Linked DNA regions of Saccharomyces cerevisiae S288C. Changing the gene in region 4 together with the main gene of any one other region gives a genetic interaction. Each region holds a gene or a part of one and is shown on either strand. Other genes may lie near its edges. The genes, in order: ITR2, ANS1, YMR316C-A and OAC1.

Region 1 (6,419 bases), on a different chromosome or scaffold from region 4:
AATTACTGAAGCGTCGCAGTTACCACAGGAACTAATTCATGGAACAAATCTTCAATCTGTCATAAAGATTATTGAATCCGGAGCAATATCACCAATGAGTAGAAATCATGTCCATTTATCGCCGGGGATGTTGCACGCGAAGGGAGTTATTAGTGGAATGCGTTCTTCAAGTAACGTCTATATTTTCATCGACTGCCATTCTCCATTATTCTTTCAAACTTTGAAAATGTTCAGGTCGCTCAATAATGTTTACTTAAGCAGCAGTATTCCCGTTGAATTGATCCAAAAAGTTGTAGTTAAAGGAAACTTGAAAGATGAGGAGAAGTTAGATACTTTAAGAAGAATTTTACACGAAAGAAACATACCGCTCGAAAAGATATAACTTTCATCAAGCTCAACTTTTATGAATTTTTATTTTTAAATACTTCGCTCTTACTTATATATTTAAATAAAAACTTTTAAGATTAGATGAAATGAATTGTCTCCCTTTTATAGCTTTCTTCCTTCTTTTTTGTTCTTTATCTTTTATTTTTTGTTGGTGTAGCAGTCTAACTTTCTACAATTTCCTGTGTAGGTTCGAATTTGAGTTTATGATGGGCAGCACCTTCGGCCACCTGTTGTTTCCTCTTTTTAGCTAGAGCTTTAGAGGCTTTGATATTGAATCCGTCCTTTAAAATTGTTTGAACTTCCTCTAACTCCAATCCTGATAGTTCTGGATAACAAAAGTAACAAAAAATGGTTGATAAACATGCTACACCGGCAAAGAATGAAAATGTACCCGTTGGTGTAATATTTTGTAACATAGTCAAGAACGTAGACGCAATGACTAAAGAACCTGCCCAATTGGTGGCAGTAGCGTAGGATGTCCCTACACCTCTGACGTTTTGTGGAAATAATTCCGATTGTTGCCATGGAACAGTGCCGATACCGAGGGCATAAAAGGCTGCATACACAATAATAAATACGATAATGACAATGCCCCAAGATGAAAATCCATCAGATGCCACTACTGCATCAGCACCGTTAAACTTAATACCTAGGAAATGGAACGCTATAGCACATATAACCAGCGCCACAGTCATACCAGGTAGTCCAATCAGTAAAATGTACCTACGGCCGATTTTATCAATACAGAAAAATGCTATTAATGTGAACACAAAATTAGTACCTGAGACAATAATAGAAACGGCAGAAGAATTTTTGAATCCAACAGTTTCAAATATTGTACCGGAGAAATACATTAAGGAATTCCAACCTGTGAATTGTTGAATGGCTTGTAGACCACAACCAATAATCAAAGCTCTGAAATTTGAAGGCACAGTGTGCAATTCCTTGACCATATTCCAGAATTTTGTTATTGGATTTTTTCCTGGTATCGATTGATTTAAGCTAGATAATTCTTCAACTTTTTGATCAATTATTTCATCTTCAGTGTTTACGTAACTTCGTTTGAGAACCATTTTTGCTCTCTTTAAATCGCCTTTCATTACGTAGTATCTTGGTGTATCCGGCAAAAAACAGAAAAAAGAAAACTGCAAAACAGTAGGTATCAAGGACAAACCAACTAAGATTCTCCAACCGTTTTTGACGTGGTTCAGGCCCGCACCACAACCGTAAGCAATCAATTGACCACCTGTCAGCCATAGGGAATTTATAACGGTTAACCTACCCCTGATCATCTTAGGAGCAATTTCACTAATAAAAAGAGGAGAAATCAAAGAACCAATACCGACACCGAAACCCATAATCAGTCTACCGGCCGCCATTTGCCAAAACTTGTGCGCGGTAATTTGTAAAATTGCTCCGATCAAAAACATCAGATTGGAGAACATTAAACATGGTCTTCTTCCAAACACATCAGCAGCAGTACCAGCGCCCACACTTGTAATCAAAGCGCCCAATGATGTGGCGGCCGTAATTAATTCTTTTTCTCCATAAGTTAAAACTTTGTTGTCTAAATCTCTATTGATAGAAATTAGCGCACTCGATATGTAACCAGTATCATAACCAAACATGAACCCAGAAATGGACGCAACGAATGTCAATGTAATAATAAAAGGGGATATTGACTGATTGAAAGTTATAATCACTGATGTATCATCTTCATCGTTAACTGGTTTAATGACAATTCGACCGTCATCCTCGTCCTCATCCTGTCTAGATTTTATTTGCATTGTAGAGGTGGATACGGGAGACTTTTTCGGTTTTTGACCATCATTGTCTTCTTCACAGTGCTTCCTATGGTGCAGTTCTTCTCCCTGCGTAGAAGATTGATCAGTTGAGGCGGCCCCCATACCACTGCTATTAGTGTACGAGGGAAAGAAATGGGAGAGACGACTCTTCGTCCATCTGGAACTAGCAGCTGTCGAATTCTTCATTTCAGCCATGAAAAAAAAGCAGTTTTCTTGCTTTTACTGCGTCCTGCCTCTTTTCTTCTTTTAGTTTTTTGTTTTCGTTACCGTTTTCCTAGCGAACGACAATGTTTATTTTATTAAGGTATTCTTTGTGTTTTTTCGTACTCTATACTAAAGTATGGTCAACTGCTTACGTTCTGTTAGGCGGAAGACACGAAATAACTTTGCTTCACATAATATTTTGCATACTTTTAGTGGCAAGACGAGCGATTTTGGAAATTTTTTTGGCGATGTTTTTTTAGTAAAGCGGGTTTTTGACTACAATTTGAAAGCTCTTGTAGTAGAAGAGGGAACAAATAAGAAAAAAGGTTCCGGGATGAGGATTTGAGCTGAAGGTGAGAAATGGGTGAATGTTGAGATAATTGTTGGGATTCCATTGTTGATAAAGGCTATAATATTAGGTATACAGAATATACTAGAAGTTCTCCTCGAGGATATAGGAATCCTCAAAATGGAATCTATATTTCTACATACTAATATTACGATTATTCCTCATTCCGTTTTATATGTTTATATTCATTGATCCTATTACATTATCAATCCTTGCGTTTCAGCTTCCTCTAACATCGATGACAGCTTCTCATAACTTATGTCATCATCTTAACACCGTATATGATAATATATTGATAATATAACTATTAGTTGATAGACGATAGTGGATTTTTATTCCAACATACCACCCATAATGTAATAGATCTAATGAATCCATTTGTTTGTTAATAGTTTGAATGTTTTTATCGGAAGAGGTTTTGTCATCACATCAGCAATGTTCTTCTTGGTCTCGATGTAGTATACGTATAAATTATTACCTGATACTTCATCTCTAAGTCTCATTGCCTTTGTGCCAAAAAATCTGTTTCTAAATTTCTCTTCATTTGTAGACTTAATTATACTGATCGTTGATCTACTATCAGTAAGTAAGCCTTTAATAATTGGTTTCTTGTTAAGTTCTTGTATCAGGTAACTTAGATTATTTAATAATGGGACAGATTCACTTATCGCGTGTATTTCTGCTTCCGTAGTTGAAGTACATGTTAATGAAGCCTTGGTGGACTTTCCTCCAATTACCTTTCCATTAAGTAAATATATGTTGCCAATTTGTGATTTATAATACGGTTGGTTGCCATACGAAGCATCACTTATTGCGACTAGTTTATTATCTGGCTCGGTAGGTTTGTTTTTGTGCCATATCAGTTGTTTATCTCTAGTGTCCCACATGAATTGTATCAACTCATATGTCATGTCTAAAACTTGCCTAGAGGGGAATAGTATATGTTGAGCAAGTGTGTTGATGTAGTATAGTAAGTCAAATCTAAATTTATATCCAACATATGAAGCTAGACCAATCAACTTTTGCATTTCATGTACCTTCTCTTTGTATTCATCTTCATCTATTTCTAGTTCATCCTGGTCTATATAAAGACCTGGTTGACCTGGAGCGCTAAGTTTTCTTCCTTTTGGATTCAAAGGTACGTTTAATTTGGGTATTTTCTCAGTTAATGAGTTTTCCATACCTAATTTCATGTATTTACCTCTTTGATATTTGATTTCTAAGCCAAGTATGTCGTACTGAATTTCGTTATCACTTTCACCCAGATTTATTATCTTTGTATCGTATTGTTTCTTGAGTGTTGTTATGATTTTCTTATTTGCATTTAAGTCTTTGCTGAATAAAATCATGTCGTCAACAAATAAACATATTGTTACTTGACTATTCTTAAATACGCATGACCATCCACGAACTTCTTCCATACCACACTGTTTTATCAGGTATGATTTGATAGTTTCGTACCAGTTCGCTCCACTTTGTTTCAATCCATAAAGTGATTTCTTCAAACGTATCAACTTATCATTCATTCCTAAATGTGGTGGAGGTCTTATGTATAATTCTTCTTTGATGTCTGCATACAAATATGCCGAAGATATGTCTAATTGTGTAATATAGTAGTTATTGTCTAATGCAAGTGACAGGGATGTCATTAATGCATAGTGATGTACGGTATTGGATTGCATGCCTGAGTCGTAAGTGTCAGGATGCTGAATATCACCTCTTGCAACAAATCTAGCTTTATGAGTACCGTCACGTTTCTTGTTGAAGATAAACATTGAGTTTATTACTCTTTTAGGGTCTATTTCTTTTCTGTCATAATATTCGTCAGTGTCCCAAGTTTTCATCTTCAACAGTTGATTGACTTCTTTGTGGTATGCCTCGATATATTTTTCTTTTTCTTTAATATCTTTATTATAGGTGATTGCCTCATCGTATCGTAAGGTTGTCCGTATTGGTTTGATTGATTTTACTGCTTTTACAGCTGCAATCAGGTGAATTCGTTTCTTCGATCTCGGAGGTTCTAAACTACGCATATTCTTAGTATTCCATGTGTCTCGTGATACCTTAATTTCAGTTTCATTATCTTCTAATGATCTTTTCTTACTGTTGATAGTAGTATAGGCATTAGAGTCACCAATACCACCCAAACTGGAATTAGTTTGATGAGAATTTATCGGTGGGAGTTCTTTAAATGGGTCAGGGAATTCGGTAGGAGATTCTGGAGGTAGATCAGGGAGTGGGAGATCAGCGATGATAGATTCCTCGGTATTCTGTTCAGAAACAGTAGTTGGCGTTTTGATAGGAACAATATTGTGCGATGAATTATTTTCCGGTGGAGAAGCATCGATTGAAGGTGAACGGTGTATAATCCTTTTCTCAGTCTCTTGGTCACTTATCTGCGGAACAGTTTTGTTGTTGGTACCACCCGTACTGGATATTGGTACGTTTGTATGATTAGTCTCATTTTCACTGTACGAGTCTGAGTGTCTGAAATCTTTAGATTTACTGGCGTGCGACGACTCATGTGTGTTAGATTGGGACATGGGAGCAAGTAAAGGAACATTTAATTTATGCATACCACCCGAACCGGTACTCTCGATATTGGAAATTTGGGGGGTGCTAGATCTCTTCTTTGATGGAAGAATATTAGATTCAGATATGTTGGGGTCAACTTCTCTGGGTGCGCGAATATTGGTTTTAGAAACACGTTTCGAATCTTCAGTATGAGTTGACGGAGGTGTGGAATCGGTTGGACTCACAGCTTTTGAAAGGACATTTCTCGGTTGCTCAGGATGTAGTTCGATGTCAGATTGGAAGTCATGGTCAGATTCTATGTTAAGATCATCGGATTGTTGGATCTCATTTGACGCAATGAACGATTGATATGAAGCAGTTAAACGGTTTAAGTCTTCATCGAAAGTGAGTGCGTCGTAATTGAATTGATCTAATCTGGATTCCTTGCCCTGAAGAATAACATAGTTAGTTGTATCTACTGTCTTCTTTAAGGATGGAAGATAGATGATATATCCATAAGAGTTTCGAGACGGATGTAGAGCGTAGCCTGGGATGCCACGAGGATGTATTTTGGAGTTAGGGTTGTGATCATTGACGATAACAGGTTGACCGAAAGGTAACAAAGTACTGATATCAAGTCCTGCCAAGCCAGCATGTTGTCTTGCAGATTTTTTGCTTTTAGGTGAAGCTAGTGAATTTCTCACAATAGTAGAAAATTCGATTGCAGAGAACCATAAATGGTTCGGTAAACCACTACATTGCAGTTGAGTACGGCAGTCATCTAATAAGGTACGGTTGAGCCGTTCAGCGACTCCATGTGCTCGGGAATCCGCTGTGGTTGTATAGCATGGAGTTATACCATTTTTTTCAAGGAATTTATGGAGAGTTCTGTTAGTATACTCAGAACCACGGTCCATTTGTATAACCAAGACACTGGCCTGAAACTGGTTCTTAATAAAAGCTAGTATCGTAGTAAAAACATCGAGGATAGAGTCCTCGCGACGGTCGTGTAATGGATAAACCCAACGGAATTTTGTTGTCTCATCAGTAAATGAGATGAAATAGGATGGTGCACTTTTTGGTAGGTTGTGAACTGGACCAAATATGTCAGTATGTAGGTATTGAAAGGGTTCGTATGAATTTTGGTATTTTAGTCGTGA
Region 2 (8,221 bases), on a different chromosome or scaffold from region 4:
TTTAAAGAGCAGTTTTGATCTTCTCGTTGAAGACTCTTCAGTAGAAAGCAGATTAAGAGTGCAATATTTCGCTATCAAAATAAAAGCTAAGAATGACGACGACGACACGGAAATCAATCTCGTCCAGCATACAGCGAAACGCGACAAAGGTCCTCAATTTTGTCCTTCAGTATGTCCGTTGGTGCCTTCCCCTTTGCCAAAACATCAAATCATAAGAGAAGCTTCAAATGTTCGAAATATCACTAAAATGAAAAAATACGATTCCACTTTTTATTTGCACAGAGACCACGTTAATTATGAAGAATATGGAGTGGACTCTTTATTGTTTTCCTATCCAGAAGATTCTATTCAGAAAGTTGCCCGTTATGAAAGAGTTCAATTTGCTTCATCAATTAGCGTGAAGAAACCATCCCAACAAAATAAACACTTTAGCTTGCATGTAATTTTAGGTGCAGTGGTAGATCCAGATACCTTTCATGGGGAGAATCCCGGAATTCCTTATGATGAACTGGCTTTAAAAAATGGATCAAAAGGGATGTTTGTGTATTTGCAAGAAATGAAAACGCCTCCTCTTATTATTAGAGGAAGATCACCTTCTAACTATGCGTCATCTCAGCGAATAACTGTGAGAACACCGTCGAGTGTCAATTCCTCACAAAACAGCACAAAAAGAAAAATGCCATCAATGGCGCAGCCGTTAAATGAAAGTTGCTTAAATGCAAGACCTTCGAAAAGGCGATCCAAAGTGGCGCTAGGTGCACCGAACTCTGGGGCCTCCATCTCGCCTATCAAATCTCGTCAATCCACACCAATGGAAGCTTCGAAGGAAAATGAGGATCCGTTCTTCAGGCCAAATAAAAGGGTGGAGACTCTTGAACATATCCAGAACAAACTGGGTGCTTTGAAAAATCAATGTCCAGATTCCTCTCTGAAATATCCGAGTTCATCTTCAAGAGGTATGGAAGGGTGTTTAGAAAAGGAGGATTTAGTTTACTCAAGTAGTTTTTCTGTTAATATGAAGCAAATCGAACTGAAACCGGCACGCTCTTTTGAACATGAGAATATTTTCAAAGTAGGCTCATTAGCATTCAAAAAAATCAATGAATTACCTCATGAAAATTATGATATAACAATAGAGAAGAAATCAATGGAACAGAATTATCTAAGACCAGAGATAGGCTCACGTTCTGAATGCAAAACAAGCTATGGTAACGAACTCTCCCTTTCAAATATTTCTTTCTCTATACTACCTAACTCAGCAGAAAATTTTCACTTGGAAACTGCACTTTTCCCAGCTACGGAAGAGGATGTGCCAAGGACATTTTCAAGAATATTAGAAACAGGTTCGTTTCAAAATTATTATCAAAAAATGGATGCAGAAAATGCAGATAGGGTATATTCGAAAGGGGTCAAGTTGATTGCAAGCGGTACTCTACCATCTGGTATATTTAATAGGGAAGAATTGTTTGAGGAAGATAGTTTCTATAAGTATTAAATAAACTAATGATTTTAAATCGTTAAAAAAATATGCGAATTCTGTGGATCGAACACAGGACCTCCAGATAACTTGACCGAAGTTTTTTCTTCAGTCTGGCGCTCTCCCAACTGAGCTAAATCCGCTTACTATTTGTTATCAGTTCCCTTCATATCTACATAGAATAGGTTAAGTATTTTATTAGTTGCCAGAAGAACTACTGATAGTTGGGAATATTTGGTGAATAATGAAGATTGGGTGAATAATTTGATAATTTTGAGATTCAATTGTTAATCAATGTTACAATATTATGTATACAGAGTATACTAGAAGTTCTCTTCGGAGATCTTGAAGTTCACAAAAGGGAATCGATATTTCTACATAATATTATCATTACTTCTTCCCCATCTTATATTTGTCATTCATTATTGATTATGATCAATGCAATAATGATTGGTAGTTGCCAAACATTTAATACGATCCTCTGTAATATTTCTATGAATAATTATCACAGCAACGTTCAATTATCTTCAATTCGGCTTCAGTACTGTATGAAATACTCGCTAACATTTTCTTTATTCTATAATAGCACAGTGACACTTAAACGTCAAACGTGGCGCACATTAATATACGATGTATGCATTTGGCTTGACACTGCTGTAATAAGGAACATCATCATCCGTCAACTAGTAGTCACATTAGTAGTGTATTATCACATGGTGTGTAAGAACATTACGTAAAGATTGAAAAAAAGTCATCAAAAATAAAGGAAGCTGAAACGCAAGGACTAGTAGTGTAATAGAATAATATTGTGTAAAAGTATCGATACCCTTTTTGGAATTATTGTATCTTCGAGGGTGGCTTTTAATATATTTTTGAAAACCTAATATTATAACCTTTCACAACAACGAAATCCCAACTGTTGTGTAATAATTTTACTCAATTCTTACTATTGCTTTACCAATCCTTGTATTTGAGCTCTCATAAAGTTCGCTGACTACTTCTCACGACTCATGTCATCTCCTTATACTGTATATGATAATATACTGGTGGTGAATGACAGCAAACTCTTTCTGGAAAACTTCTTGTCCTAAAGAACAAAATCAGTGTAATGTGTAGGCCAGTGTTATGTTTTCATGAATATGACATCTGATAAGAATAAAACAACTGGTAAAATGACTGCTTTTTCGGCTTATAAAATTCTAACATGTACATATTTTTTATAAAATGAAAATACTATTGTCCTTAATTGTACAATTTTTACATTTGGAGGCCAAATTATAAAAATAATAGCGCTGCTACTCCAACTATATAACCCATGTTCTTGGATTCAACCTTCATACCAGCACCTTCATAGACAGAGACATTTGCGGTACTACTTGGGGTAGTAGCAGCGGTAGTCTCAGGTCCAGACGCAGTGGCTTGGATTTGACCATCACTGATCTGTGAAATAGCGGCATCTTGCTTTTTGCCGGGTTGATGATCTGCAACAGCGCTTCTATTGGAACGATACAATGAGCCATTCCAACCACCCACATCATATACAGCTGCATTAGATATCTTTTTCTGCTGAGCTGCTAAGGACCAAGATGCGCTGCTGTTGAAGGCTTCATCAGTCGAATTAAATTTTCCTTCTATGTACGAGTTCGTACTATTCGCAAATTGTACGTCCAACGTGTCTGAGGAGTTGCTTACTTGTGCATGTGCAACTAGAATATTGGTGATGGCAAACAATGTGGAAACTAAAGTGCACTTCATGGTAGATTAATTATGATGTTCGTTTGATTCTGTTCTATATTTTTTATATGCTGACTGAACAGATTATAAAAATTAAATTACATGAAGTATTGAAGTTAATGTTGGCTATTTTTGAGGAGGAGGTTCACCTTTATATAGTATTCCTCGAGCTACAAAAACATGGATATTTTTACAAATGCTAGTAAAAAGGAAAGAGGTCAAAAGAAACGTTTGGCATCAAAAGTAATCAAAGTGGGGTCTAGATTTATAATTTGTACTACGAAGAATCGCGACTCAAGGTACCAGGTACGACTGAAACTTTCTTTTTGGATTTTCGAAGAGAGAAAAATTAGTTAGCATAAAAAGAAATATAAAAAAAAAGGAAAGGAAAAGTGTTCGAGACTTTACCATACAAAGAAATATTACGGTAGAAAAAAGAGCTGCACTTACCCAATACATATTGATGAGGTAGTATTCACGGTGAGAACAACTTACATCAACACCTCAGTTTGCCGAATCTGCAGTGATATTGTATCCAAAGTCTACTTTTCATCCTCATTTACTGTCATTACAGAAATTTGTCAGGAAAAGCAACCGGGTAAGGGAACTTTCAGGGCCAACGCGAAAAAAAAAAAGGTCCATCCATAGATTTTTTAGAAGATACACACCGTGAATTGATTAGAGATCATAGTAACCTCAAAATATACAATGTCTTAGATTGGAGCAGGCAGAAATATCTATCAGAGCACAAAATGGCTAGAAATAGAACAACCTCCAAGAAAAATGTTCAAAGTAAACGCTTAATAGACAGAGTGGTTCCCATGGACAAGATTAAAAAAGTTGGCGTAGCGAAAAAAAAAACCGTAGAACACACTAAAGAAGGATTTAGCGTTGTCAACGGTAAGCTAGTAAGCAGCAATGACGTCGGTGTACTGTTAAGAGAAGCACAGGGTGCTATCGATAAAAGAACTAATGTTTCCCAAAGAAATAGGAAAAAGGGAATAAAGAATAATAGGCCCCACAAAGACATAAACAGCAGTCCTGACTGGGGCAATGCCCACAGAGGAACCGATTGGCAGAGCGAAAAAGCAAACGGCATGAACAGGGCCAAGAACTCTCGGAATTTTACCACTAATATTAAATTGCAGCGACAACATTTTGGCGAAGAAATACAAGGTGGCAGCCAGCTTGTGATATCTACAAATTCAGATGCTTCAGATAAATTGTTAATGCTATTCAACCTAACTTTGGGAGTAAACCAAGAAAACTTGAAAAATGTTCTGGAAAACATTTCTCAGGTGCAGATAGCTCAAATTAGGGTTAGAGACCTGCCTTCAGGATCTGCCACCGCTAAGGTCCGTCTGGCATATCCTACAACACAGTCTTTGGAGAAGGTAAGAAAACTGTTCCATGGCGCTCTAGTTGATGGAAGGCGCATCCAAGTGGTGATTGCATCTGATGAATCGTCCCACTTGTCGTATTAGAGTTTGTCAACGACACTCACAAGGTATTTAATCAGCAAAATCCCCGCCACAAACTATTTTTTTGAAGACATGCTTTCTCATGACTGCCTAATAACAATACCTCATTCTACTAGTAATCGACCTATGTAATTATTTCATAAACTATAAAGCAGGTCATTGCAATAACAGAAAGGCCGGTTTTTCTATAAGCTTATCTCATCGCATAAAAAATCGACAGTTGTAATTATCTCCGGCGGACTTTTCCCTTTCCGTCTTTTTTTTCAAAATTTTTTTTTTTTTCACTTCTTCTTTCAAAGCTGCCTCAAAAGAGATATATATATTGGTAAGAATCCTCTTCCAATACTAGCTTCATTTCTTCTTGAACCATGAACCCGTTATTCTTTTTGGCTTCTCCATTCTTGTACCTTACATATCTTATATATTATCCAAACAAAGGGTCTTTCGTTAGCAAACCTAGAAATCTGCAAAAAATGTCTTCGGAACCATTTAAGAACGTCTACTTGCTACCTCAAACAAACCAATTGCTGGGTTTGTACACCATCATCAGAAATAAGAATACAACTAGACCTGATTTCATTTTCTACTCCGATAGAATCATCAGATTGTTGGTTGAAGAAGGTTTGAACCATCTACCTGTGCAAAAGCAAATTGTGGAAACTGACACCAACGAAAACTTCGAAGGTGTCTCATTCATGGGTAAAATCTGTGGTGTTTCCATTGTCAGAGCTGGTGAATCGATGGAGCAAGGATTAAGAGACTGTTGTAGGTCTGTGCGTATCGGTAAAATTTTAATTCAAAGGGACGAGGAGACTGCTTTACCAAAGTTATTCTACGAAAAATTACCAGAGGATATATCTGAAAGGTATGTCTTCCTATTAGACCCAATGCTGGCCACCGGTGGTAGTGCTATCATGGCTACAGAAGTCTTGATTAAGAGAGGTGTTAAGCCAGAGAGAATTTACTTCTTAAACCTAATCTGTAGTAAGGAAGGGATTGAAAAATACCATGCCGCCTTCCCAGAGGTCAGAATTGTTACTGGTGCCCTCGACAGAGGTCTAGATGAAAACAAGTATCTAGTTCCAGGGTTGGGTGACTTTGGTGACAGATACTACTGTGTTTAAATAAATCACACCCGAACACCATCTTGAAGGTTCAGAACGGCTGAAGCCGCATATCAACTTTTGGTTTCTACTGTTTTAAATTTCCTTTCTCGTTTTAAACCTTTGTTGCCGTCTCTTCTACTATCAATTTTGTTGTTCATGCATGTTTAATTACCTTTTTTTGTAAAAATAATATAAACGTATCAATGGCTATTTATAACAAATATGCTTGAAAAATCTAACGACTCTGTTTCTTACATTAGGTTCGAATAAACACGGGTACTGTCCTCTAGCCAATCTGACTTTTTGGTCCAAAGTCTTTGAAAGGTAGATAACCCCGTTAAAATAGAACCACCAATCCATGTAGTATATTTTCTTTCTGAAGGGGCTATAATCTTTATCTTGGATGTTCCTTTGGTTAATGCCTCCAAATCCCATAGCATTCGGTCTCCAAAGCCTTTAAGCGTTGTAGTTCCGCCACTTAGGATTATCGATGACAGTAAAGGTTTCCTTAAATCCAGATCGACTTTCCAAATAGATTGCATGCACATATCAGATAATCCATCGTACCCTAAGCCGATGATTTGAGGTGAAAATAATATTTCTGGAGCACGATATCGATCATTCCCCACCTCTATACACCTCCCGTCGGGCAATTTGAATGTCGAGATTAAATCTTGAGTACCTTGTAAGTATTTCTCCTCTTCCTTTTTAATATTCTTGGCCAAATAACAAACTTTCTCTTTCATCGTGCGAACAATCTCTCGTTCACTGCTGGAAAACAACGAAACACCAGCTGATTTCCGTAGTTGAAATTGTAACTGCTCTGTGATATCTGCTCCTCCAATATCCATCCTCATCATAGACGCAGGTAATGCAAAGCCGTCATATATGGGAACAGTGCTACAGTATCCTTCACCACAGTCAACTACACAACCTGTAGTTCTCCCACTAGCATATAATGACAGAACAGCAGGGTTTGAAACGTACAAAGCCGATACGTCAAAGGTCTCGAACAATACTTGAGCCATCTGCTCTCTATTCTTCAAAGGATTCATCGGGGCTTCCGTAATTAATAAAGGATGCTCACCTATATTTTGCAACTGTAGGACTTCATTTAACACATATGACCATATTAGTTCCATAGAATCCCAATCTTCCACCACGCCGTGCTTTATGGGGTATCGTAATTTTAATAATCCACGCAGTTTTTGGGCATTGTTTCCAATAAATGTATCTCCTTGCAGACCTTCGAGCATAACTTTATCATATTTGGTATTTCCTACGAGACAATATTCCAGTGCTTTAGGCCTTTCCTCACCACTAAATCCTGCTTTTATGATCCCAGAACCATTGTCGATCACTACCGGTTGATTGTACAAAGCATAGCTGTCACTTAGCTGGTCCATTGGCTAACTTTCTTTCTAATTCCTCAATTCGTGGTATAGCATTAGCATGTACTCCTTGGTCTATGCCCTTTTATTAATTTGCTGTTTTATTGGGAATATCTGCTATTTGCTTCGCTATTATTCAATAAAGGTGTTTATCATTATTGATGTGCATCGCGAAAATGGCCACTTTGGAAATGAACTTTTTCTTGAAAAGATTAATACAAACGGAAAAAGAGAAGGCAATAGGAAACTCACCGTCACACAGGTGTACTGTGTCCTTTGCTTTGAGCTCTTGTTCAGAACATTATGCTACTTAGCATTCTTTTATGAGCTTTTTTCTGTAGTCTTATTATAGGTTGATGAAAGCGTTACCTTCAAGAAATGATTTTTAACGTGGTATAATAAACACTGTTTATCATGGTAAAACAGGTATTTCTTTTATTCTTTGGAATTACCAGACGATACCCATTCAAAATTCAACTTCTAATCAAACGTTGATCAATAAATACTGTATTATGTTGCTTGTTTGAAATTAGAGGCATTGCCTTTGTTAAATTGAAATATAAACTGGAAAAATGAAGCGAAAATAAAGTACTGTCTATAAACAAAAACCTTAAAATGATTAATGTTAACCTTTCTGAGCAACGAAGCAATCCATACGTATTGAAAGCTTTAGCTCTTGGAGTACGGTGTCGAGAAATCGAAGTAAGACCTAGTAGAAAATCATTAGTTTGTATAGACTAGTCAATGACAAAGTAATAGTTGAAAACAATACTGTCTTAGTTCGCAACCATTTATATATATTTAAACTTATTTTTTACAGCCCTTGCTAATTCCTGATGCCAAGTAACGAGGGGCAAATCATCTGAGTATATACGTACATATACATCAATGATGCCAATCGGAAATGCTTTAACATTTCTGAAGAATTCTTTAAAAGGTTACTATTTTTACTCAATTCGAGAAAATGCAAAATATAATTACCCACTTTTATGTAAACATCGGTGTCAAAATCGTGAAATATACCGAATGATA
Region 3 (8,371 bases), on a different chromosome or scaffold from region 4:
TTTTCTCTTTTTCTCCTTGCTAAGCACCTTTAAGGTGAAAAGAAACACATATCAATACACTAACAAAAAAGGTGCACGTTCATAGGGTATCGGACAATAACTATATTACTAAGCTACCAAAGCAATAGCGCCAATAACAAAAGCTTTCATGTTAATGTTCAGGGATGCACCGGTATTTTCTTTTGCCGTGCTGACAGTATATGTTGTGCTTTGTTTAGCGGATGAGGATGTTCCATGAATCGCTGCCGTAGGTTTGGTGGTAGATCTGTTTACCTTTTCAGTGGATGAACTTAGTTGTGATGTTAATAGCGACTTTTGGCTCGAGACAATTATCGTTTCAAGGGTAGTTTCACCCCTCCCGATCGGACTTTCAGTTGAAGATTTCGCAACAGTTGATGTGTTTTTCGCTTTAGTGGTTGATACTCCTTCTGAATTTTTAGTTGACTTGCTTTTTGCTCCCTCTACAGATGTGCTTCCTGTACCTTGACTTTCTGATGGGGAAGTTGATGGTGAAGCATTCGTTGCAACGGATGTATTTCCTGCAGCTTTACTTTCTGATGGGGAAGTTGATGGAGAAGCCTTTGTTGTTGGTGAGGTTTTTTCGACAAAAGATGACGAGCTCCTCACCGTTTCTGATCCTGGTTTAGCTTTTTTAGTTTCCTGAGAAGTCTTCATATCCTTAAAACTTTCCGAAAACGTGGACGTTTCGAAATTACTTATTTTAGTGCTAGTGGTATGTTCTGCCTCATCTCCACTTGTGGTCGATGTTACTTCTTTTTCTGGGCAAGTAGTAACAGTAGAAGCATCAATATCTGTTATAGTAATAAGTGTGGTTGACTTTCTATTCTTGGTGCAACCACCCGAACAACTTGTAACAGTTCCTATGGCAGTAGTCTCCCTACTTACGATTACTGTTTTGGTTATGTTGTAATTAGGAGTAGGGTTGCTGCAATTGACTGTTGAAGTTAAAGTTTCAATTTGTTTAGCAGTAGCTAGAACAGTTGAATTAAAGATATTTCTGGCATGAGCGGATGTTGAACTTAGGGAAGAAACAAATGTAGTTTTGTTAGGGAGTGATGTTGCAATTCTAGAGGCAGTTGAGGAATTTCCAGACCTGTCGATTCTGGGTGTGACCAGGATGGAGCTAGAGGTAGTTGATTTGCTTACAAGTTGTGCACTGGATGTTGAAGGAGCACTGAAAGTAGTTAAATTGTGGGCCGCTAATGAGGAAGTGACGTCGCCACTCGCTAATGGCACGCTGGAAATGCTTGAAGTGGATTCAGTAATGAAACTAGCTGTACTTGGCGAAGGTCTAGCAGAGGTAGAATTATTTATAAATGGGGCACTTGTGGTCATACTGGAAACGGTTGAAGGAGCCTCTGAAGTAACCAAAGTGGAAGTAGTTGGAGAGCTTTCAGGTGTCGAGAAACTATAACCTGCCAATGATGAGCTAACGACAGTTGAATTAATTGCGAGTGACGCACTACTGGTGGAAAAGCCGGGAGTTATCACCGAAGTATGAGAGCTCATGGAGCTAAATGTGCCTGTTGGAACGTTAGAAGCACTTGTAGCGTTGGATGTTGATAAAGAACGGGCAGTAGCTTTATTACTCAAAAGCGATGTACTAGATGTGGCCAAATTGGATTCGTTTGTAGTTTCAGAAGAAGTTATACTAGAGACAATTGATGAAACGACTGAGTTTTTTGTTTTGGTGACAATCAGCGAGGCACTTGCAATGGTGGAATTATTGTCAGATGGCGCACTGGAGCTAGCCAGGTTAGAGGAAATTGATGAAGCTTCCGAAGAGGTGATATCAGACCAGACCGATGGAAGTGGAGATGCGGTTAAACTGATAGACGCTGATGGAGAGGTTGTAACGGTAGAACTATTGCCGAATATTACACTAGACTTACTCAAGTCGGAGGAAGTAGATGAGGTTTTGGAAGTGGCCATTCTGGAATTACTTGACGAAACCTTAGATCCAAGTGTACTAGATGCGGCGGATGTTGTGGTAGAAACGGTCGAATTGTAACCCGTCGACAAAGAGCTTTCAATGATTGAATTGCTTGCTAATGTCTCACTAGAAGGTCTTAGGCTAGAAGTTACTGACGAAGCTTCTGTAGCAACCAAAGTAGAAGTAACTGATGTATTTTTAGAGCTAAACAGTCTAGAACTTGCTAAGCTGGAAATTGCCGATGGAGCTTCCGAACTCACTAGGCTAGACGTTGCCGATGAAACTTCTGAACTCATTACGCTAGATTTTGTTGACGAAATTTCCGAACTCACTGAGCTAGACGTTGACGATGGAGCTTCTGAACTCACTGAGCTAGATGTTGACGATGGAGCTTCTGAACTCACTGAGCTAGATGTTGACGATGGAGCTTCTGAACTCACTACGCTAGACGTTGCCAATGGAGCTTCCGAACTTACTGAGCTAGATGTTGTTGACGAAATTTCGGAACTCACTGAGCTAGATGTTGACGATGGAGCTTCTGAACTCACTACGCTAGACGTTGCCAATGGAGCTTCTGAACTTACTGAGCTAGATGTTGTTGACGAAATTTCGGAACTCACTGAGCTAGATGTTGACGATGGAGCTTCTGAACTCACTACGCTAGACGTTGACGATGGAGCTTCTGAACTCACTACGCTAGACGTTGCCAATGGAGCTTCCGAGCTCACTGAGCTAGACGTTGCCCATGAAGCTTCTGAACTAATTACGCTAGACGTTGCCGATGGAGCTTCTGAACTTACTGGGCTGGAAGTGATGGATAAAATTGTAGAGGAAAATGGTAGGGTTTCAGAAATAGTAGAGCTTGCGGGGCTGGAAGTACTTGATAGTAGGGAAGAAACATCGGACGTGCTTGAACTAAAAACTTCCTTTGAGGCATCGGAAGTAGTACCAACTGAAGTGACAGCCGATCCTGAGGAACTTATCTTTGGAGAAGATGAAACGTCAGTAAGCGTGGTAAATGTGGAGGATGTGACTGCAGTTGTATCAGAAGATGAAGCAGTAGTTTCAAGGACAGAGGACTTTCCCAATGGCTCCGAAGAGGAACCACCTCCATTTGATGAACTGGTTTGCGGGGAAGATGTTTGAATAGCACTACTACTTATGGAGTCAGTCTCTGTAGTGGAGCTGGACAGTTGTGCATTTGTGGAGGAAAGCGCACTGTATGAGTTTGAGGGGCCAGAGGTTGATGATTCGACATCGTTGACTGATGTACTAGAAATATCGGATGATGTGTAAGAAAGAGAAGAAAAAATGGAAACCAATGACTCCGATGATAGAATTGAGGCAATTGTATCAGAGGAGAGCGACGAGCTAGAAGTAAACTCGGGTACAACAGAAGAAACTAATGTGCTAGAACTACTGACAATAATTTCTGGGCTAGTTGTAACTTTAGTGCTTGTCGTGCTTGTCGTGCTAGTGGTAGTAGGCGTAGTTGTACTGGTTGTGCTACTAGTAGTAGTCGTGCTACTATGCGATGTGGTAGTGGCTGTGGTCGATTTTGAACCAGATGAACCCATTTTGATACGGCGCTACCCTTTCTTGTGGATACCTTTTCTATGACAGAATCATTGACAAATCTGAGGGAACAAAATTACCACAGGTGTGAGTGAGACTTTATATAAAATTAATATTTCATTTTTAGCTTTGTTCCACTTGAGAGGAACATGGGCAAAGATAGAGACTAAGAAAACATGTTTTCAGAACTTTACTGTTGACTGCTGAACAGTCTTAGCAAGATGCTTATTTTTACGTGAGTTCTAAGTCGCCGTGGACTGACACCTTCGCTAAATTCACAGGCAATGATCGCAAACGAGCTTCATGAAAAAAAGTTTATTTTGGATCAGATCTGCGCATGGTCCAGAAAATTCGCCTTAACGAAAGGTACACAATTTTGCATTAAATGTCAAAAAAAATAGAATATGCGATACAATTATACCTGAGATGAATTTAGTAAAGTAGGTGCAAAAGATGGTATAATACTTGAGCTACATCTGGGAAACTAAAGCACATTTTACGTTCAAAGCGAATAGTAAATTAGAGAGAACAGTTGCGCGTGGAAGGCACGGGCACCGCTAAATCTAAAGAAATTACATACTATTTCATTCTTGCTGTCATTTTTTCCTCATTAATCACCACTTTTAAGCAGGATATAAGAATAAAAAACTCGATTTGAATAAAAACTATGCTTTCCTTGGTACATACGTCCTTTTGAGTACATAAGTAATGTCAACTGTGTAGGAAAGAGGTGACGTCCTAGGCTCGGCTGTGTGATATTACTTTTTAGAACCTTTTTGATAGAGGCTAAATGGTAAGGAAAGTTAATTTTATTCGAATTTTGGGCCACCTCTCTTAGAAAGGATTACTGCTAACTTCATAGTGTCAGATCACTCGTGTTTGTTCTGAATAATGAGGCAGGCGGTATACGAAAGAAGATATCCTGCTTATTTGGCTCCTATTGTTCAATTAATTAATCGATTGGCCAACGACTTTCCTATCGTATAGAAGAAACTGTTTGAAAAAAGATGGCTTATCCAGGAAGGCGCCTGAACAAGTTCTTGCTTCCCACAGTAAAGAAAAATCAAAATGGCCGCCATAGCGGTGCAGGAAGGTCTTGCCTATCGAGGATATTGTTTTTACTCCAAAAGGAAAGAGGAAAGTTAACAAAATCAACTTTTCAAACGGAGAGTATAACACCCGGAAGTTAAAAACTGTGAGGAAGATAAAAAGAAATCTTCACGAAGTTTTTTCCATTTTGGTGATCTAATGAAGTCAGCTATCACTTTTTTGCGCTACGGGCTTTATGTGACGCAATAGCCCGTGCCACTTTAAACTTTTTTGTGCCTTGGCACCTTTGGCAGTATACGAAGAAGATCAATTAAACAAGAACGACGAGATCTCGGACAAGATATGACAGGGTTTAAAGTTTCTTCTTTTTTTTATATTCTGGCATTGTCCCGCTTTTTCAACGCAGGAAGGGAACGAGCTTGTGATAAGTTAAAAATTACAGTTACACATCTATACTGGTTTATTATACGCAAACTTTTGTTACATGAGGTTCATGTTCATGTTAGTCGTGTTTGCAACGTTTCTTTTATTTTGTCTCCTTGCCTCTTTCGCAATTTTTTTACGTTGTCTCTTCATGTACTCTATGTAATGTATGAGCAGGCTCTGACACCCGAGTTCTTCCGTCAATGGTGGGATATTATTCAATCCAAATGATCCTTGATCTGTGGAATACTCGCCAAGAATTAAGTGGCCCTCTTGAGCGACCCACCTAAAAAGAGATGTTTCAAATTCTCTAGTATAATGAGCTGCCACGAACCTCTGAACTTTTTGATCCTTTTGGTCGATGGACATCTTATTTTTAGCGGCTCTAATGACATCTTCATCCAAACGATTCACTTCATAATCTGCTAACAGAATTAATTTATAATGATCGTTGGTAACTACGGGCGAATAAGTGACATGCCACCTGAGATTTAAATTATTCACTTTAGTGTCCAAATCCCTGTGTCCTTCTCGGTGAGCCATTGCTAGTAAGTTGGGCTCCGTAGACGTAGTCCCTACGAAGCTGTAAGTTACGTTTGCTTGGCTGACATTTTTATATATGTCGTAAAGAGGCACTTTATACAATATTAATCCGTTGTTTGAGCAAACGATTTTTGCCACAGTATAAGGCGGAGGTTCGTCTGCCGTTCTTAAAATAAATTTGAAAATTTTATAATATGGGACATTGCCGACCACAGTATTGCTATGACCTCTTTTACCAAACGGTAGAGTGCAATTGATAATTTGGAATAATGGAATACCAATTGCATCTGGACTCAGCTCATTCGAATACTTTTTAGTGTTTTCAAAATTTTCAAGCGATTGCTGAGACGGAAACATGAAAAACCCATCCTCGCCGTTTATCTCGGCTATGGGCATTCTTCTTTCCCTATTAAAATGAAAGCACTCTGGGACACTTTTGCTATCGGACATTTCAATCTTCAATCTCTGCTCATCTTTAAGCCCATCTGCTGCTTTCTTAAGAAGGTATCTACTTATTGAACCCATAATCAGATTTTTCTTGAAAAACTTTTAATGGAAGCTTAGCACCTGCTTCGGTCTTCTTTATCTTGGCGAACTTTGCCAAATCTGTAGTTGTTTCAAATACTGTCATGTTGGCAGTCTTCTTTTTATATGCGTTCACGCCGATGGCCAAGCCTACAACATTTTCTCAAAAAGGGACCATTGTCCCTTGCTGCGCCAAAAAAAAGAAATAGGCGCATACGTTCCGTCATCTATCGCTCACAAAAAGTGGAACCGGTAGGATTTTATCACTGACACATACCGTTGTACTAAGAGAGCAATTAAGTCGACAACGCAATTGATATGCGCTCTTCGTTATCGAACCCTAGCGGTGTATTTTTCGGACAAACTTACTGTTCATTATGGCCGAATGCTTACCTAAAACGACACTTCTGGTCGTTTTCAACTCTCATGCTCTAAGCAATTAGGCTTTTGGGGCGAAGCGGACAAGCTCTTAAGGCCGTGAATAAAGAAAGGGAGATGAAAGGACGCCGTAGCAGCTGCAATAGCTTTCTTTCGGTCATCAAAAATCCCAGTGAATTCTTGGGGGACACTTGTGGGGTTGCATTACTCGAAATGCTTCGGACGAGTACCTGATTCGTTAAACATATATATATCTCATGGTGAATTGGAAACGGTTGTAGATCTTATATAGGAAAAGTCATTCATAACTAGTTCCATGCCGACTAAGTATTTCGTCCAGGCTCGGCGTTCTTGTTGAACGAATTTTCCCATAATCATCCAGATTTCCAAGAACCTCGCCTTCGTAACATTTTGCAACAACAAGTGGATGGAGAATTTTGGCTATTTTTAGTTCAAGAAAACTTAGAAATTTTTCAACGGTTTTTTATCTCGTTAGTATTATCATTCCAAAAGTATACTTATGTGGGTACATAGTTATAAATATATGAGGGAATCTATCTATTAAGGTTAAAAAAGCGTTACATCGTAAAACGGTAATCATGGCTGCTCAATTTTAACGTAGTCACCATTCTTGGCAGAAGATTTTAAAAACGCGTCCACACAAGCCAAATGGTGAAATGCAGTTCTGGGTGTGCCTAGGTATAAGGATTTGTCCTTCTTGCTGACAGCTTCGTGAAAATTCAAAAATTCAGCGTTGACGCCGAAACTTTCATCATTATCGACTTTAAAAATTTGTTCGTCACCGTTATCTTCAGCTGAACCCCCTAATTTGACTTTTACAACGGGGTCTTTTTTGTCTGATAAGTCAACGGTAACGGTACCATTCTTACCATAGACTTTCAAGAAAACCGACTTTTCGGTAGCACCAAAGGCAGACCCATAAGTAAAACTTCCGATAACCTCTTTATTTTTCAACTGGACAGTAGCAAAGACAATATCATCTGCACCGGAACGTTCACGCACCTGTCTCGTTAATGCAGAAACAGATCCAAATTCACCGAGTAGGGAAATAACGAGAGCTAATTGGTGGACACCACCATCAGATAGAAATCCGCCAATGTGCTCTGGTTTTTGTCTCCAGGTTGTGGTCAAATATTTATTTTGAGTAACAAATGGACCGGTAGAATTGTGGGTGAATGCTACTACAGGACCAATTTTCTCGATCTGCTCCTTTGCGATTTTAATACATGGTAAATATAACCAATTTTCAGCCACACCAACGGGCAATGGGGTGGATTCTGCTATCTTGACAATCTCCTTTGCTTGGTCTAAGTTGGCCGCAATTGGTTTTTCCAAAATAACTGGCTTACCTGCTTTAACTGCCTTCTCGACAATATCAGCATTAAATTGAGCAGGTAGCAAAGCGTCAATGTAGTCGACATGAGGGTCATTCAAAATTTCATCTAGATTGTCGTAAACCTTATTTTCAGGTATGTCAGCAACCTTTGCAAAATCCAAAGCTTTTGCCTTATGTCTGTTGAAGGCGGCAATGACTTTGAATTTGTCAGGAAATTCCTGGTAGGATGGGAGATGTCTATCTCTGGCAAAAATACCTGTACCAACTATACCGACGTTCAATGGGGACATTTTTGGCTATTACTTTACTTTTTGGAACCAAGAAGTGATTATGGGTCTATTCGATGTACAGAAACAAATAGGTTTGAGCGAGTTCGAAAGTTTATCCAGAATAAGTAGTTCTTTTTATAGACGAACACCTATGTATTGTGATACATAATCATGCTGAATTTTCAACAGGGGATAACTCCGTTTATTCCCCGGCGGAGGGCGGAATTAAGCGGGGTTATTAGTTGATTTGGAAGCCACGTCTTTTTTAATTTTGAATGAGAAGTGAGACTACGTACT
Region 4 (8,988 bases):
GATTGAAGATAAATCAAGAATCGGCGTTTGCATAGATACATGCCATACATTTGCAGCAGGCTACGATATCAGCACCACTGAAACGTTTAACAATTTTTGGAAAGAGTTCAATGATGTAATAGGGTTCAAATATCTAAGTGCTGTTCACTTAAATGATTCCAAGGCTCCTTTAGGAGCAAATAGAGATTTGCATGAACGCTTGGGTCAAGGTTATTTGGGTATAGATGTGTTTAGAATGATCGCGCACTCTGAATACCTGCAGGGTATCCCTATTGTCTTGGAAACTCCATACGAAAATGATGAAGGCTATGGTAATGAAATCAAACTTATGGAGTGGTTGGAATCAAAGAGTGAGAGCGAATTGTTAGAAGACAAGGAGTATAAAGAAAAAAATGATACGCTGCAGAAATTAGGTGCTAAATCGCGTAAGGAACAGTTAGACAAGTTTGAGGTTAAACAAAAGAAGCGAGCTGGGGGCACCAAGAGGAAGAAAGCCACTGCAGAGCCAAGCGATAATGATATCTTGTCACAAATGACAAAGAAGAGGAAGACTAAGAAAGAATAATGAGAAGCGAGAAGAATTTTAAATACGTAATCAATTTTTGTAGATTATCTCAACGTACGTAACTAAATGCTACCCTTCGTCATCCAAGATGCTGTTGCCCATTTCATAGAAACTACTTACTTGGTTTATAGATGTTTCGCGTTGCGTTACAGAATAAGGCAGCCTTTTTTTTTTTTAGATTTTCATTTTTCACATACTGATGGATTAGCAGACGAAAAGGGTAAAGTTAAATACATTCCAGTAAATGAACTAAGAAGGCTGAGCACACCATCCTCTTATGGAACGTTATTCCTAAGCATAGAAAGTTTTTTACTTGTAATCTTCAACGCGGGGTGTGTTCTTTATCTTTTTTTTCTTTTTTACACAATTAGACAAGTATATTTTGAGATAGTAATCACATCTACGCTTCGAATTCATCCATACCCACAGCAGCTGTTAGGTTATACCGACAATGGATGAATATAGTAGTATATATTCACAACCAAAGACTCCTCGGTTGAAACAAGAAGGATTTCCCGACTCCATTGGCGATCAACACGAAAAGGCATTGATTGATGAAAATGGTGAGGAAGATAAAAAAATGGCATCCACTGAAGGGACCACTGGTGATTCTCGCAGTACACCTTTGACTGTATCTATTCCGACGTTTGAAAATGTCCAAGCATTACCTACACCGATGACCTACACTCCGTTATCCCCAGGCAATCTGTCAATGTCACCTATAGATCAATCCTCGTTGAATATACCCAAAAGACGAAGTCATGCACGATTACTGGATGATATGCTTTCTGTTACACAACCAAACCAAAGAGTTGTTTCTGAACTTATTGCACCAGCTAATTTATCCCCCCAAAGGGTTGTTTCCTTACCAACAGTGACTGAAGAGGCTTTAGTAAATGATTCTGTTGATAGTGATAACTACACGAAAGAACCTTATTTTCCCGAAAGTAGTAGTTCTACCGAAAAGTGTGACGATGATATATTTCAGGGATTTCTTTTAGATCACTGGGATCGCCCGTTATTATGGAAAAAGGTCAGGCCCATTGGTTCAGGAAATTTTAGTACCGTACTTTTATATGAACTCATGGACCAAAGCAATCCTAAACTGAAACAAGTGGCCGTTAAACGACTCAAATATCCCGAGGAATTATCAAATGTTGAACAAATCAATACATCGTTACGATATAAGGAAACTTTATCCCGTTTGGAAAATTCTCTGACTAGGGAATTGCAGGTGCTAAAATCACTAAATCACCCATGTATAGTTAAACTACTTGGGATAAACAATCCAATTTTTGTTACTAGCAAAAAACCTTTATGCGATTTGATTATAAAAACTCCAAGAGCTCTGCCGCCTTGTGATATGATTATGTCTTATTGTCCTGCAGGAGACTTATTAGCTGCCGTCATGGCCCGTAACGGAAGACTAGAAGCGTGGCTGATTCAAAGGATTTTTACGGAAGTAGTACTGGCAGTAAAATATTTGCACGAAAACAGTATTATTCATCGGGACCTAAAATTAGAGAATATACTACTGAAATATAGTTTTGATGATATCAACAGTTTTAGGGACTCACCCATTTACTGCAAGCAAAATTTCATTGAGCTAGCAGATTTTGGTCTCTGCAAAAAAATTGAGAACAATGAGATGTGTACAGCAAGATGTGGATCAGAGGATTATGTCTCACCAGAAATCCTGATGGGAGTTCCCTACGATGGCCATTTAAGCGACACGTGGGCCTTAGGTGTCATACTATACAGCTTGTTTGAGGACAGATTACCATTTGACCCTCCTCCAAACGCTTCAGCAAGACAGCGTAGCAGAGCTACGTCACATCGTATTGCCAGGTTTGATTGGAGATGGTACCGGTTAAGCGATTATAAAACTAATGTGGGAAAACAGATTGTGGAAAATACGCTAACGAGGAAGAACCAACGTTGGTCGATTAATGAAATTTACGAATCCCCCTTCGTTAAAACGATCGCTGATACTCTAAGTTTTTCTTGAAATTTCCCACGGATGGGAGTTACTTTCGTTTTCTTTCTTATTGCTTACACCTGATAATCATCCAGCATATAGAAATTGTTCTTTAAATATCACATACAGTTCCATTACTTGACATTTGCAACATAATATTTCTGCTTTTTTCTCTATTTTGCATCCAATATAGCTTCTATCTGCTTACTACTGTCTTTTTGACAATGTACAATATATATCTAAGATAGTTACGAATAAAAATATTTTTATTAATTCCATAATATTTAATTACATAGAGGCAGCCAATAACAAACAGGTAAAGAGTTGTGTAAAGTGCATATATTCGTCTTTTATTCTAAGTTACTCATTCTAGCACTCCAGGTTGATTTGCTCCTCCTTTTAAGCTTTCACTTCCGGCTCTATTTCCTCTTCTTCATCTTCTTCATCGTTTTCTTTGAAATCTCCCATGTCCAAATTACCACCGCTTTGAGCCAATAATTGCTGCAATTGAGCCATATCTGGAGAACCAGCGCCACCAGCACCTCCCATCATTTGGCTGAAGTCCATGCCTCCAGCACCTCCAGCACCTCCAGCACCTCCCATCATTTGGCTGAAATCCATTCCTTGAGCGGCATCATTACCTTCAGCTTCAACTTCGTCTTGTTCATCTTCATCAACCCATTTATCGAAATCAGTTTTGATGTAAGGGTACTTCACCTTTTCCTTTGTCAAACGTGGCCAGTATTCAGATTCTAAATCCTTTTTATACAATTTCAAAAAGTAGTGCTGGCCATTAGCAACCTTATGCATTGTTTTTTCAGGTATAATTTCCTTGTATAGATCAATGTGTAATTGATAATGATGGACATTTTCATCGCCAACATGAGGCTTTGATTGAGCCTTTAATTCGATGTATGATGGCTTAATGGTTAACTCAGGGGCATCACAGTCTGCAATTGACACAGTTATTAAGACATAATTTCTTTCTGGATCAGTAGTACTAGACCTTTGAGCCCATGCAACTTGAGGGTTAATAACTTTATCGGACATGACTATTATGAATCGATGATCTTGGGAACTTGTTGTTGTAATGAATTGAGTCCACTAGGTTTCTCGAACAAGTTAATACATTGCCACCCATTTCGTCTTTTTATGCTTTTTTCCATGCTAATTCTTGCCGCTCCTCTCCGCCCCTTCAAAAACACTCGGAAGGCGGGTAGCATTAAAAGTCGAACAGTTTGTTGGTAACTTTTGTAGGTATATGTGTACCAATAACCACAAATTAAGTATTGATTATCACAGTCAACCTCTTTGTATATCAAAAATTATACTCTGTATTCATAAAAGGCAGTTATTTTAAAAGCAAGTAACGGCAGGAAAAAAATTATTAATAAGTATAAAAAGATTGGACGAGTCCGGAATCGAACCGGAGACCTCTCCCATGCTAAGGGAGCGCGCTACCGACTACGCCACACGCCCTATTTACTGTTAGTGTATTTCCACTTAGATTACTATAACAAGCTCTTTTAAACAATAAAACAGTTCTATAACAACCGATTTACGAAATTCTTCTGAGTAAATGAGGTCACAAATGAACTTTCTTTAACTTCCTCTTTGTCTCCATTCGTTTTTCCATGCTTTTTTTGTTTCTGTCGAAATGAAATCCTTGTATCATCTATTGGCTAGTATTCGTCTTCCTAGAATATTATCACAGCGGTGTAAGATGATGACATAGAGATTGGGAAACAGTTATCGGTCTTAATGGAAGCTGAAATGCAAGGATTGATAACGTGATAGGGTAATGAATGGCAAAGTATAGAAGAAAAGAAGTTAGAGTAATATTATCATGTAGAAAGACCGATTCCATTTTGAGGTTTCCTATACCCTCGAGGGGAACTTTTAGGATATTCTGTGTATCTCATACTATAGTCTTTAACTATGATTGAATCCGAACAATTATATTGTTCACGAAATACTCAGTTTTACAAAAATCTTGTGTATTTAACTGACTCAAAGTAGACATGACGGACGTGTGAATATTTAAAATGAGAAACGAGGAAGCGAAAATAAAGCAAATCTCACATGAAAACGCTGAAAGAAATGAAGAAAAGGTAAGATAGGATAATTGACGATTGGCATCACATAAAAGAACTCTAATGTTCGAAATTAAACTGAATGATAGAATAACTGAATTTCTGCGAAAGTTCAAGAATAGCGCGAAATCAAACGAAGGAATTGATGAGGACATTGATTTGTTCCTGAAGCGACACGCAATACCTATGCAGTCACTTCTTTTTTATGTGAAAGAGTATAGAAAAGACAGTGATCTCCAATGCTCTATCAAAGAACTTTTGAAACCTTTGGAGTTCGAATTCAAGCCCAAGGCCGTCAGAGGTTTACACTATTCAGAGGATTTCAAGAAAAAATTAGAGTTTTTGAAATATCAGGAACAAGAACTTGAATATCAAAGTATGGTCAAGAGAAGCAAGTCTGTCTTTTCACTTCAAGAAGACGATGAACTCACGCCTTCACAAATTAATAAACAGATTAAGGAACAAGTTACCACTGTTTTCAACGTTCTTGTAAGTGTCATATCGGTTGTTGTGGCCATTTGGTACTGGACCGGATCTTCAACAAACTTTCCGGTCCATGTTCGTCTTTTGTTGTGCTTGTTCTTTGGAATATTGGTCTTAGTAGCAGATGTGGTTGTGTATAACAGCTATCTGAAAAAACTCGAAGAAGCAAAAGTAAAAGAAAAAACAAAGGTTGAGAAAAAGAAAGTTCTAAGCAAGATTACACTGTAACTGATCATTTTATAAATAAGAACTCCGAGATCCGAGAGCATATAATTCTTGGAACTGGACAATTGTGAATAATGTTCTGTATGTTTATAATTACGTTTATAAAACTATCGTGTATGAATGTGAAATAAAAAATGCTCTATTATCCTTAATGCTACATAATATGAAGAAAAAGGTTGTAATGAAACCATTAGTAAAGTAGAACTGTCCTGGCCAATGAATGAAACTTCAAACCTCGGAGTTTGTTATGGGAATTAATTATGGCCTAAAACTCTCGACTCTATCGAATAAACTAGTTTCATTGTCTGTTCCATGAAGGTCAAACACATGATTGTATGAGGTGCGATTCTGAACACTTGAGCTGCAAAACCCTTATACAAAGCGGTTACACCTTCGATTCTAACAGTTTTGACCAAACAATCTATAGGTCCCTTGTACAAGTCACCTTTTTGATTATAGATTCTTGTCAAAATGACATCCCATGGGTTCATAACGACGGCAACACCTAACCCAGAGATAGTACTAGCAGTTAAATGTAATGCTGGGCCATCTTTCATCAGATCATTTTTGACCAAAATGTTCTTTGCTGTGTTGTAGATAGGTAGTTGAACAGAGGAACCAGCACCTGTCCTTAAAATTGCCGCATCAATACCTCTGAATAGACCCTTAACACCTTCGGTTTTAAAAATGGTTACTAACCCGTTCCAAACACCGGTGTAGTGCGTTTGTTCACCAATTTTTATAAACTCGGAATATGATTGAAGTCTTGTTTTCACCAAGAATAATGGAGAGCCAATGACTGCACCAATTATACCAGATGCGGCACCAGAAAAGACGTTAACTCCGACGCTCTGTACCTTATGTGGCTCTTGATCTGGGAAGAAAAGCTGATTTAATGATGATCTGATTGGCTCATAAAACCCTAATCTGGAACCATTTAGCCCAATTTGATAGATATAAGCAGCATTTAACCCTTTTTGCAGACCTTTTATACCTTCGTTTTTGAAAATTACCGCCATACCTTGGATTGGATTTTTATAAACTTTTGCAGCTGATGCTGACATTTCACCTTGAAGCTGCATTCTGATTTTAATCAATTCGATCGGATTAGTAACTGTAACAGCTATACATGCTGCTAGCCCACCAGCCACAAACGAACCAAACTTCGATATCTTCTGGGCGGCTGTTTTTTCAATTTGTTTATCTTGTTTAGAGTTGTCAGATGACATATTTGCTTACGATATAATTCGATGAGATGTGCTTGTGTCTGACTTGCTATAGCAATCTAAGGAAAACTATTTCGGATGGAGTTCTGGAGTGGGGGCATTATGGAAGAAGAAAGTATATCTTAATGTTGCATATAATCACATAGTTTATATATATGCAGTATTTATCATTTGACGACTTAGTCACAGCTTGAAATTTCAGCGGTGCTTAATGTTCGTTTTCTTTTTTTTTTTTTTTTCCGCAACAGAAGGCCGATTCCGCTGTAACTTAATGAGGTATTAAATGCCAGATTCGTTTTCGTGACCTCCTTTAGCATATCGGCAGACCCTGACTCGCAACTGGAATAACACCACATGCGAACAAAAGCATATTTTTGCCCTACTTAATTTGAGAGTGGAAAATCTTTCCTCGATTTCATTTTTCTTATAGCCCAATTGACGTCTCTGTAGGCCCTAATAGACCCCATCGGCCTAAGACCGTTTCCGGCATCTTTCGGGTTGTAGATGGTTCTGTGAGAAAATGTGTCAGTAATGAAAAATAATAAAGATCGCTACAGATATAAATAATAATACTATGTTATTTGCAGACATGCTTATGATCTAAAGACGGTGGAACAGATAGTTTTTCCTCTTACTTTCTGATTCTCTATCTGAAATTATTGAGGATTGTACCACAATCAGCACACGTGAAACCGCTATCACCGCCAGCAATGGGGTTTTTGGAAGCACATTCAAAATTAGATCCATTGCAGACGTCACATTTCAACTTCGGATAAGTGGTAGAAACTCTCGGAATATCATGCGGTCCAAACACCGTGGAGCTCGTACTTTCACTTCTTGACTTTAGGGATATAAAACTTCCATTGGATTTATTAAAGATCGAATTCTTGAAAATAGCACTAGCTCTTGATGGCATGCCGGAAATCACCGGGCTATTATTAGGATGCAGCTCACAAAAATCGTGGCTTGGCCTACTATTGTGCGTGTTAGATGGTGGGGTTGTGCTAAACTCATTATCCTCTGTGGAACTTCTTTCATCCATTCTATTTTCCAATATGCTGTCATTGTTGTGGTTGTTGATTTTACCAGCAGCTTCGAGGTGGAATAAATTGTATTCATGGAACTTTTCTATTATTTTTTTTCGTATTTCCGGTAAGATATCAGTTCTGAAAACACGGATTAGACCTTGACTGTCTGTTGTTATTAGAATGGTTCCAACATTATTCACAACGTTCGATAGGTTTGAGCTGAATCCTCCTGTTTCTGTAACTGGGTGATTAGGTTTGTTATCACATGTTTCCTTAGATTCTGAATAATTTTGGCCCATTTCTTTGAAGTACTGTGAAGTCAGTTCGAAAATCAAATCGTTTGACAAGGACAAATTTTTAATTGCAACGTCGGGAGCAATGGAAGCACATGTGACAGGGGAGTTATGGGCATGAAATGATATATAATGATTGTTTTTGATAGCTTGAGAACCAACAGTTTGAGTTTGAAGAACATTTTTTGATGAGTTGGTAAATGTGTGTGAGCTGCTTTGGTTTGACGTTTCTGTCAAACATTCATCATTCGTACTCTTATTAGATACAATTCTCAACAGCCCTTTTAAACTCATACTGCCGCTCAGCCGTTTCTTTCTATGCGGAGCAGTGCAATTCATTTCTGCTGAAAGATTAAAGGACTGCATTTTCCAGGTATAAAACCAATGATCATCACTTCCCGTGAAAACTACAGGTTCATTTTTCATCATTAGGAATTGGCCTCTATGACGTGAGGAACCACTTTGGAATCCTTTAAAAAGCTCTAAAGGTTTTTTTTCATTTAAATCAAAGATTTGAATTTTTGAATCATTTGTCGTAACTATCAATCTTAAATTTTTGTCCACCTTAGAAAAGAAGCATTGTAAACCCGTGATTCGAGGGCCGTGTTGGACCTTTCCATATTCGGAAGATGGATGAAAGCTATTCTTAGTGGTTCCTTGAGTGCTTTTATCAGATACATGGAATGAAGATACAAATTTTAATCCATGTGTCAGTAAAACATAAATGTATCCATTGAATGTACCGATAATTGTATATTCCCCACCAGGAGGAGATAATGTTAGGGATGTTATCAAATCTTTGCAATCAAAGGCATAAGAAACCTCATTGTCCAGTATAGACCACAGTCTACACCTGTGATCTAAGCATCCGGTAATTATGAAACGATCATCATTGGGAAAAAATATTGCGGATGTAACAAAATCTGGGTGAACAAAAGTTTTCAATGAGTATTTCCTCTCAGGGTGCCATAGTTTTGCAGTTTTGTCCATTGATGCTGTTATTAGAAATCCATTTTTGGACCAGTTTGCATCCAAAATATCTAAAGCGTGCTCCATAAAAACCCTAAACACATCAGAATAGAAAACCGGTGCGTATA

What was found.
Region 1: mutations in OAC1 (region 4) and ITR2 together harm fitness more than expected from each alone (negative genetic interaction), as found in Saccharomyces cerevisiae (one large-scale study listed by BioGRID).
Region 2: mutations in OAC1 (region 4) and ANS1 together harm fitness more than expected from each alone (negative genetic interaction), as found in Saccharomyces cerevisiae (one large-scale study listed by BioGRID).
Region 3: mutations in OAC1 (region 4) and YMR316C-A together harm fitness more than expected from each alone (negative genetic interaction), as found in Saccharomyces cerevisiae (one large-scale study listed by BioGRID).

Annotation. Positions count from the first base shown.
Region 1 is NC_001147.6:119,960-126,378, reverse strand, and holds ITR2 (myo-inositol transporter ITR2), read right to left. Parts: upstream 2,379-6,419; coding exon 549-2,378; downstream 1-548. Other genes in the region: TPT1 (tRNA 2'-phosphotransferase), read left to right, coding at 1-382.
Region 2 is NC_001140.6:356,950-365,170, forward strand, and holds ANS1 (Ans1p), read right to left. Parts: upstream 3,233-8,221; coding exon 2,753-3,232; downstream 1-2,752. Other genes in the region: transcription factor NDT80, read left to right, coding at 1-1,495; YHR125W (uncharacterized protein), read left to right, coding at 1,909-2,214; YHR127W (uncharacterized protein), read left to right, coding at 3,964-4,695; FUR1 (uracil phosphoribosyltransferase), read left to right, coding at 5,166-5,816; ARP1 (actin-related protein 1), read right to left, coding at 6,050-7,204; YHR130C (uncharacterized protein), read right to left, coding at 8,016-8,221.
Region 3 is NC_001145.3:902,524-910,894, reverse strand, and holds YMR316C-A (uncharacterized protein), read left to right. Parts: upstream 1-4,921; coding exon 4,922-5,233; downstream 5,234-8,371. Other genes in the region: YMR317W (uncharacterized protein), read right to left, coding at 109-3,531; DIA1 (Dia1p), read right to left, coding at 5,060-6,070; YMR315W-A (uncharacterized protein), read right to left, coding at 6,502-6,609; YMR315W (uncharacterized protein), read right to left, coding at 7,046-8,095.
Region 4 is NC_001143.9:214,929-223,916, reverse strand, and holds OAC1 (Oac1p), read right to left. Parts: upstream 6,574-8,988; coding exon 5,599-6,573; downstream 1-5,598. Other genes in the region: DNA-(apurinic or apyrimidinic site) lyase APN1, read left to right, coding at 1-565; serine/threonine protein kinase PRR1, read left to right, coding at 1,017-2,573; Hsp90 cochaperone SBA1, read right to left, coding at 2,943-3,593; VPH2 (Vph2p), read left to right, coding at 4,700-5,347; DGR2 (Dgr2p), read right to left, coding at 7,217-8,988. UniProt on the Saccharomyces cerevisiae protein: Antiporter that exchanges dicarboxylates and sulfur oxoanions across the inner membrane of mitochondria. Exports alpha-isopropylmalate from mitochondrial matrix to the cytosol, where it serves as a precursor for leucine biosynthesis.